Yarrowia lipolytica: one gene and its partner. The protein of the gene in region 1 purifies or fractionates together with the protein of each later gene. This does not show direct contact. Links are inferred from orthologs where the notes say so. Each region holds a gene or a part of one and is shown in the gene's direction. Other genes may lie near its edges.

Evidence for each region.
Region 2: the proteins of YALI1_F17004g (region 1) and YALI1_E31351g purify together in Saccharomyces cerevisiae (affinity purification with mass spectrometry, with the first as the bait; 3 studies listed by BioGRID). This does not show direct contact. The link is inferred for Yarrowia lipolytica from reciprocal best matches to the Saccharomyces cerevisiae genes MAK11 and ERB1.

What each region holds. Positions count from the first base shown.
Region 1 is NC_090775.1:1,698,318-1,702,658, forward strand, and holds YALI1_F17004g (uncharacterized protein), read left to right. Parts: upstream 1-2,142; coding exon 2,143-3,549; downstream 3,550-4,341. Other genes in the region: YALI1_F16984g (uncharacterized protein), read right to left, coding at 1-109, 353-946; YALI1_F17025g (uncharacterized protein), read left to right, coding at 4,192-4,341.
Region 2 is NC_090774.1:3,132,001-3,137,319, reverse strand, and holds YALI1_E31351g (uncharacterized protein), read left to right. Parts: upstream 1-2,186; coding exon 2,187-4,649; downstream 4,650-5,319. Other genes in the region: YALI1_E31369g (uncharacterized protein), read right to left, coding at 1-31, 187-292, 346-387.

The sequences.
Region 1 (4,341 bases):
GATCGACTCGTCGGGGGTCCTTGGCGTCTCGCTTCTTGATAGTGGACAGGAAGATTTCCGACGCGGACTCGAGCCGTGTGAACTCTTCGGCGTCGTAGAATGCCGCAGTCTGTGTTAGCTAGAGAAAAGAGGAGTACAGTGGGTGCTGCTGTACAGTATTGTGATTAGATCAGCAGCTGTAGATAGTACTTGTAAAAGTGTAGATCCGATCGGGAAATTATACCAGTCGATTATTCAACCACAGACCTGTAGAACAACCCAAACAGCACCAACCAACTGTCGAATCAAAGCAACTATCACACATCGCACCTAACTGCCAATCTGCACTGCATGCGGTTGATTCTATACTCACCTTAATGACCTCCGCCATACCGTTAATGAACTCTCGAACGGGCAGAGTCTCGAGGAAAGAAGTGTCGATGAAAATGTTGACGGGCTGCCAGAAGGCGCCGACCAGATTCTTGCCCAGAGGGGTATCAATGGCGGTCTTGCCTCCAATGGACGAGTCAACCATGGCAAGCAGAGTGGTGGGGATCTGGACAAACCGCACTCCTCGCATGAAGGTGGCGGCCACGTAGCCGATCATGTCTCCGATCACTCCGCCTCCCACAGCCAGGATCACCGTATCTCGGGTGCAGCCCTTGGACAGCATCCAGTCTTCAATGGCGGCCTTGGTGGCTCTGGACTTGGAGGTTTCTCCGGGCGCAACGGTGTAGGTCAGCAGTCGGCTCTTGATGCCGTCCTTGGCAAACGCAGCCTCGAATTTCGTCTTAAGAGACTCAACGTAGCCCAGATCCTCAATGTTGGTGTCGGTTACCAGAATGTAGGTGGACGACTTGATGTTGGCCACGATTTCAGACACAATGTGGTCCTGCATCTTGTAGCCAATGTGGATGGACTCCTTGCCCAGAATCGGGACCTTTTGGATCTGACCCTCGGCAAACATGGTGGTGTGTAGTTGGAGATGCGACTGGCTTGGAGAGGAGGTTTGTATAGAAAGATTTGAGTGCCTAAATTGAGTTTAGACTGGAGAAAGGTTACATGACTCACCGTACAACCTGTGCCAAGGGCGGGCCAAAAGAGGATGTTCCGGGCTAGATATCGACATCGACACTGCTTCGGGTGATTGATAGCCCATTTTGAAGCAGATTGAGCTTTGAAAAATGGCAAAAAGACCCATTTTCGCCCAACTGACTACGACTACTGCTAGACCCGGACCGTTGGGCTAAGTCGTCTTCAATCGTCATTTTAGAAGTTCTAGTTGATGACTGCTCACTGATTGGCACAGATTTCAAAAGCACCAATAGTATTACATACTACAAATAGCACTTTTTGAGAGGCGGCTTTCGGATGGATATGGTCACGTGACTCACATAACCTGTCCAATCACGTAATCACTCTACACGTCGACATGAGTACATATACTCGTATGCAAGAAGGTACATACTATGTTGCCAATGTTGGGTCTGCTGGGAGGTTAACCGTTCGGGTATAAGTAAATGTCAAGTAATAGGAGGAAGACACTTTGAGGAAAAGTGGATATAACTTGAAATAGTGATGAAAAGGAGTATGTTTTCCTCACATAATAATACTCTTCAAGGCTGCAGCTATCAAATGATGCAACTATAATAATTGTAGCATGTCGGGATCATGGAAAATGCACCCCTAGCACACATTTTGGTTCAACTAAATCTCAACTAATTACCATTATTTGGAACATGGATCATTCATAAACCAGAATCCGTATAAATACGAATATATTGGTATGAAAACAATCCCAGACGTGACATTGATTGACCAGCAGACACTAAATACCTATTAATATTTCAGATCTGAACTTCTGACGACTTCAAGTTCTCCTTCAAGTTCAGCCGCAATGTAGGCATACAGCTGAAATTTGACGTCTAAATATGGCGCCATTCTCCAAACTACACACCCAAGTAAAAAGCATAAGTTAGATGAAACATTAGTTAGCTTTTTGGTCACTTGAGAGTCGCTCCAAAATGGTCAACGCTCCTTTTCTCCGATCCAAATTTACCCCATTTAATGCAATAAAGTCCCGACCCGCGGCCTCGTTGCATCTATGGCGATTTTCTCCCCATCCCCCGGCCCCACTCCCTCGCTTAGTCAGCATGCACATTCATGCAGACTTCAAATATTTTTGAAACTCTGTGTGCGAACTATTCACATCATCCTAACTACACTATGAGCAAAATCACCAAGCCCAAGAGCGCCCTGAAGGGCTCCAAATCCGACAAGAAGCAGGTCAAGATGGCCGCGGAGGCCGCGGAGAAAATTGTGGCCGAAAAGCCCGTCGAGGAGACCCCAGCCGACCTGTCCAAGACGATTGTGAGCACCTCCTCTTCCACGTCGTCAGTTGATCCTGCTTTTCGAATCGTGACAGGTTCCTACGAACACAATCTCTTTTGTGTTTCTCTCCTGCTGGGCACCTCGCCTGTTTTTTCGCCCATTTTCCATTTTACTCCTCACATTCAGTCCATCAAGTGTCTGGCCACCTCTGGACGGTATCTTGTGTCCGGATCGGCTGACGAGAACATTCGAATCTACGATCTTCAGAAGCGAAAAGAGCTCGGCACACTGACCCATCACTCGGGAACCATCACTGCTCTCGAGTTCTACAAGAGAAAGTGGCTGTTGACTGCCGGAGAAGACGGAAAGATCTTTGTGCTGCGAACCAAGGACTGGGAGGTGCTGGCAGAGCTCAAGGGACACGCTCGAGCCGCCGTGGGCAAGGCCAAGGTCGGTGTTGTCGACATTTCTGTTCACCCCACCGGCCGACTGGCTCTGTCGGTTGGACAGGACCGAAAGCTGATTCTGTGGAACCTCATGACCGCCAAGAAGGCCTCTGTCATGGCTTGCTACCCCGACGTGCTCAAGGTGGCGTGGAACCTGGCTGGAGATCGTTACGCAGTTACCTACACCACGTCCATCTCCTTCTTTTCGCCCGAGACCGGCAAACTCATTGGAGCCATCAGATCGCCCAAGGACGGTCTGTACCACTCCGAGTACGTGTCCATCGACGGAAAGGAATATTTTGCCTTCTCCAACTCGCGAGGCGTGATCCGGTTTGTGGACACCAACGAGTTCGAGGGCAAGACCAACGACACAAAGAACGAGTTCAAGACGGAGGACGAAGACATTGATACCATCTCCTTCAAGGTCCAGCCCCACGCTACCCGAGTCAAGGACTTTTCCTTCCTCATCCCCGATAATGTTCCCGAGGCCGATCGACACGTCTACATGACCTCGGTTTCCACCGACTCCAAGCTTGTCATCACCGATATGAACACTCGAGAGACTGTGGGTGCCTACAACACCGGAGACCGACTTAACTGTTGTGTCATGGTCCAGGAGGACGTGGAGATGGAGATTAAGAAGGCCTTGCCCATTCCCGAGAGCGATCACGACATGTCTGCTTCCGAGTCTGAGGTCGAGATGCCCCAGCCCTCCAAGAAGCAGCAGAAGAAGGCTGCCAAGGCTGCTCGAAAGAACAAAAAGGTGAAGGTGACTATTGAGAAGGATAACTAGACAATGGCGAGCATGGATGTCAGCGCATTTTCGAGCGACTCAGCGCTCCTTGTACCTGTATAAACGGAGTACATAAACTAAACTAATAGATCTTGTATATCATGGAGAACCTAATGTCATAAGGGAGTTTGTTTCAGATCAACTCCTGCTAGGAACAGTGCGCAGACACCTGATTGATCAAATCTCCAGGCAAGTTGACAAGGGAAGAGTTTGTATATGAAACTTGGTACTGACACAAGTTACATTTTAATATATATATAATAAATAAATAAATAAATAAATATAAAACATATTGTAAGATAAAACAACTCCCACCAGTCAACATCAAAAAGCTGTCTATTAGTGACCTTGCCAGTCGTCTCCCAATATAATAAGGTTAGGAGGTTTGGTTTTCTTTGCATCTAACATGCACATTACACGTGACATTGTTTACTTTATTAAGTTAAGGGGATACAGTCTATACAGTCTGAATTATATTGAAGGGGTGATTTGGCAGCCAGTGCAGCAAGACGACGATCATCAAGAGGTCTACCAAGATAGACACAGACACGAAACAGACGGACAAAACCGGAGACACAAACCCAAACTCCTGCCAGTGACACAAATACAACACCCAAAGCAACACATCTTCTGCCCACTGACATGGCCAAACCGCGACTTTCATATACAAACGGCGCTCCAAGCAAGGCCAAGCGAACGACTTCGGGCCAGTTCAACCAGCTGTCACCGTCGCAGATCCAGGAGCTCAAGGAAGCGTTCAATCTGCTCGACAAGGATGCAGATGGAATTGTC
Region 2 (5,319 bases), on another chromosome or scaffold:
ATGGTGGCACACACCTCATCCCAGGGTCCTTCTGTGGTTAGCTCATGTCAACGAGTGACAAGGTTGGTGTGATTGGCGTCTGTATCGCACGACATGCCTTTGTGTCCCCACAAAACTGCGTGTGGTGTGTGACTGTGTATGATCCACTCTCTGTGTGACTTGTCTGTGAAGCGTATGTATACTCACCGATGGTGGTGCCGGCACTGTGGAGGACGTAGTGCAGACCTGATGCCTTGATGACTCGAACCACGTCGGTCACGTACTCAGAAACTGAGGCGTTGCCTGTTCCAATCTGTGTTAGTCATATTTCGGGGTACATTAATTGATAGTATCGGCGTAACTCACAGGAATGAGGCAAAGGTCGGCAAGGCAGTGGAGTGTGGGCATGATGTTGTGTAATGTGTTGGGGTAGAGTGCATGAGATATGAGTATGTGGTTTATCATGTATATGAGTGTTGAATTGAGTTTGCCTTCGAACTGGCTGAGTAATCTGAAATATATACAGGAGCCTGAAATGTCTCAATTGTGGTTGAACACAGTTTATACGGTGCCTGGTGGCAATCATAGCAACCCCGAGTGTGTCGCAATTGCTCTCAAAAAAATAAGCTCTTCCACGGAAGGGCAAAAAGATGGCGACATCCGCAGGATTCGAACCTACGCGGGGAAACCCCAAGAGATTTCTAATCTCTCGCCTTAACCGCTCGGCCAGGATGCCATTTCGAACATAATATTTATTTTCTTGGGACGCAAACAACAGAACTCAGATGACTAAGCCGAATCATTAGAAAAAAAAAAAAAACGGTGATGAATCATTAGAATACAACAAAACAAAACAATACCACGAGACCACGACAAAGACAAGAACGAGACGAAGCGTCGACAAACCAACTGACGTGCGCCTCTCAGCGCACACCGCAATGATTCAGAAGTGTATGATTTATTGAACGCCAATAACCCGGCTTACAGCTTATTCTAATTTTTTTTTCTTCTTCACTACAGCTATATACCTACAGTATGTACTTGTAGTAAGCCGGGTTATTGGCGTTAAATAAATCATAAATCGTTTCGGTGTGCGCTGCGAGGCAGGGTTTTTTTTATTCTAATGATTCACGTTTTTTTTTTTATTCTAATGATTCATTATGTCACGTGATATATCTTTCCCATCATATAGGTCCAACCAAATTTATTGAATAACGGTTGCGGCCATTATCCTGGTGGGAAAAAATACGGCCTTCCCGTCCGATCAGCCATAGTCCAAGCACCAGGAGAGCCTAGTTAGGTATTGTAGTGGGGAGACCCATACGAGAATCCTGGGTGCTGCAATCTTTTTTTTCCCCTGATGGGAACTTGCACTGGAGTTTTGTGTGTCAATAGTCTTCAAAGGGCAAACAGTACAAGTAGCTACTCTTACATTTCTTCAACCAAGAAAACAACCCAGTCACTTCTCACCAAAATCATCCGAGGTCATGACGACACCAAGATTGTGCAGCCCCTCAAAGCGTTTTTATTGTGCTGACAGAACCTCGCTTGTAGAGTTTGACGTACGGGTGAGGTGGTGATGAAGAAGTGGTGTGCAAGTGGGATCCATATCGAAGTTGAGGCGTAAGACAGGATGGCCTAGGAAATTGGTCAGTCAATATTATAATCGGATGAACAATTTGAGAACGCCGTAATCCTCATATAGCTTTCAGATCAAGTATACGTTGTTGGAAGTCTACTGTAGTTAAGCACAGTCTAGTGGTTTTGTTGTGGGGCATTGGGGCGTGTGATATGACCTATGCACGAGTGAAAAAATGGGATATTTTATATGGAGATCATATCACAAGAAGCCAAGCTTGTATTGTTTTTATACCACCTACCTACTCTCAATGTTTGGTTATGGATGACATATATATCTCCTTTGTAAGGTAAGTGAGGTTACAGAGTTGCATGGAATTTTATTGTGGAGATGTGACGTTTGTGGGACCCTTCAAAAGAGGGGTTGTTGGTGAGATGTGTAAAATCTGAGCAGATCATAAGAATGGTGTTGGCTCAGATATTAATGTGGAGTACAAACTTCACCGCGTAAACCAAGTATAGGTGATGTCCACTTCTCCTCCTCGTCATAACCTGACTTTAACTTTGGACATGCATAGTAGACAATTTTTTTTAAATTGGATTTGCAACTTTTCGCACAGCACACAAAAATGGTACGAAGTCGTTCCAACTCCGTTAAGAAGGATTTGAAGCGCAAAGTCGACGAGCCTGTCGACGTGCAAGACGAGTTCGATGTCGAGGGACTCATTGATGAGGGCGACTCCGACGACGAGGATGAAGCTGAGCAGGAAGTGGCACAAGAAAATGTGACAAAGGACAAGAAGAACACCAGCAAGACTGAAAACGAAGAAGATGCCGACGATGAAAGTGACTCTGACGCCGAGCTTGAGGCACTCATCGGTGAAGAGGAGGATCTGTCTGGAAGCGAGCTGGAAGACGAGCTGGCTTACTTTTCTGATGCTGGAGACGACGAGGTCGACCCCTCGATTCTAAAGCATTTGGATGACGGAGTTCGTCTGCGATCTCTGTCTCGATCTTCCGACCAGACTGATGAGCTCAAGGACGTGGTTGAAATTGTGCCTGGAGCCGACGGCAAGCCTCGAATGATCAAGAAGGAAATCCATGCTGTCTACGACTCGGACGATTCGGACCAGGAGGAATCCAATACCATTGGAAACGTGCCCCTGTCTGCCTACGACCAGATGCCTCACATTGGATATGACATCAACGGTAAGCGAATCATGCGACCCGCTACCGGTTCTGCTCTGGACAACCTACTGGAGACGATTGATTTGCCCGAGGGATGGACCGGCCTGCTAGACAAGAGCACCGGAAAGGGTCTCAACATTTCCAAGGAGGAACTGGAACTCATCAAGCGGATTCAGAAGAATGAGACCACCGATGACGCCTCCAATCCCTACGAGGACCTGGTGGAGTGGTTCTCTTCCAAGACAGAGATCATGCCTCTGTCTGCTGCGCCCGAGCCCAAGAGACGATTCATTCCCTCCAAGCACGAGGCCAAGCGAGTCATGAAGATGGTGCAGGCCATTAGACAGGGTAAACTGCTGACAAAGCCCAAGGAGGACCCTGACGCCCGACCCAACTACGACGTGTGGGCCGACAACCTCACGGACGTCCAGGACCACGTCATGACTCTGCGAGCCCCCAAAATGCCCCCTCCCACCCACGACGAGTCCTACAACCCCCCTGCCGAGTATCTGCCCACCGAAGAGGAGATTGCCGAGTGGAATGCTCTTGCTCCTTCCGAGAGAGAGCGAAACTACGTGCCCAAGAAGTACACTGCTCTGCGACATGTGCCCGGCTACTCCGAGTCTGTTCGAGAGCGTTTCGAGCGGTCTTTGGATCTCTACCTGGCTCCTCGAGTGCGAAAGAACAAGCTCAACATTGATCCCGACTCTCTGATTCCCGATCTCCCCTCCCCCAAGGATCTCATGCCTTTCCCCATCAGATGTGCTACCACCTACAAGGGCCACAAGGGCAAGGTTCGAGCCATCTCTGTGGATCCCAGTGGAGAGTTCCTTGCCACTGGAGGCGACGACGGAACTCTTCGAGTTTGGGAAGTGCTCACTGGTCGAGAGCTGTACCGATGTCGTCTGGTGGCGTCCATTGATGCTCAGGATGACTCAGTCGAGTGTGTGCAGTGGAACCCCGCTGTCCCTGGCATGCTGGCTGCCTCTGCTGGTGAGCATATTTTCCTGATTGTGCCTCCCACGCTGTTTGACTTTGATATCGAGAACACCGGCCGAGAGAAGATTGAGCAGGGATGGGGTTTTGCCGAGGGAGGACGAGAGCAGCAGGATATCGATACCAAGGGTCTGGATGACGATGCTGACTCCGACTCGGACGACGAGACCGGTCACGTCAAGAAGAAGAGCCCTCCTGCCAAGTGGATCACCCCCACCGCCAAGCAGCAGGCCTCTGGTATTGGAGCCATCATTACCGCCACCAAAACCATCAAGCGACTCGCATGGCACCGAAAGGGAGACTATCTGGTCACTGTGGCCCCCTCGGCGCAGCACAGAGCCGTGGCCATCCACCAGATCTCTAAGCATTCGTCACAGTCGCCTTTCAATAAGTCCAAGGGTATTGTGCAGGACGCCATGTTCCATCCCTTCCGACCTCATCTGTACGTTGCCACCCAGCGATACGTGCGTATTTACGATCTGGCCAAGCAGGTCATGGCCAAGAAGCTTATGCCCGGTGCTAGATGGGTGTCTTCTCTGGACATTCATCCCCGTGGTGATAACGTGATCCTGTCGTCGTTCGACAAACGGCTTCTGTGGCACGATCTCGACCTCAGTGATAAGCCCTACAAGACCCTGCGATACCACGAAAAGGCCGTGCGGCACGCAGCATTCCACAAGGGTGGTCTGCCGTTGTTCTGCTCCGCTTCTGACGACGGTAATATTAACATTTTCCACGGCACCGTCTACGACGACATGATGACCAACCCTCTGCTGGTGCCTCTCAAGGTGCTCAAGGGCCACGATGTCAAGAGCGGTCTGGGTATTCTGCGGGTTGAGTGGCATCCCCGGGAGGCTTGGTTGTTTTCAGCCGCTGCTGACGGAACTGCAAAGCTGTGGACCACGTAAGGAGTGGTTCACAAGTGCGCGAGGATGTGTTGGAATCTTCCAATGGTGCATAGCAACAATGCTAGGAGGTAGCAAAGTTGTCGTTTAATAAAGATATTGATAGAACTGACGCCAGTAAAAGGTGCGAAGCATGAACTGCTCGGGCTTGACGAGTATGAGTACTTGTAGTACAAATAAGAGAAGTACAAGGTGTAGTGGGTGAAGAGTGAGTAGTGTGAGGGATATGGGGAGTACGAGCTGTGGTACAATACCGTGAAGCTGTAACACGAGAGCATGGTAGAAAAGTTGAAGCACTAGTAGGTCAGATCAAGTAGCGACAATGCCACAAATGCCCGTTTCCGTTTAGGTGGGCCCGCCAACTGAGCAGATCCCATAATATCGTTTCAAAGAGGGCTAAACTTCGCCAATGGAAATAGATCTGCATTAATCCAGACATATTTGTATGAGTGCAAGTAGAGGAAATATATATATATAGTATATATATATATATATTATATTGCTCAAATAGGGTGTGAAAGTCTGGAAAGATTGACATAGCTGCCACTCACCCTTGTCATAGTATTGTTCTCAGTAAATGATGGGTGCTGCCATCATTTGCAGTAGAGAAGTGCCACAATGTTTACAAGTCTTCCGAGTTACAAAGATTATAGAACAGTTCCAAGATAGTTAT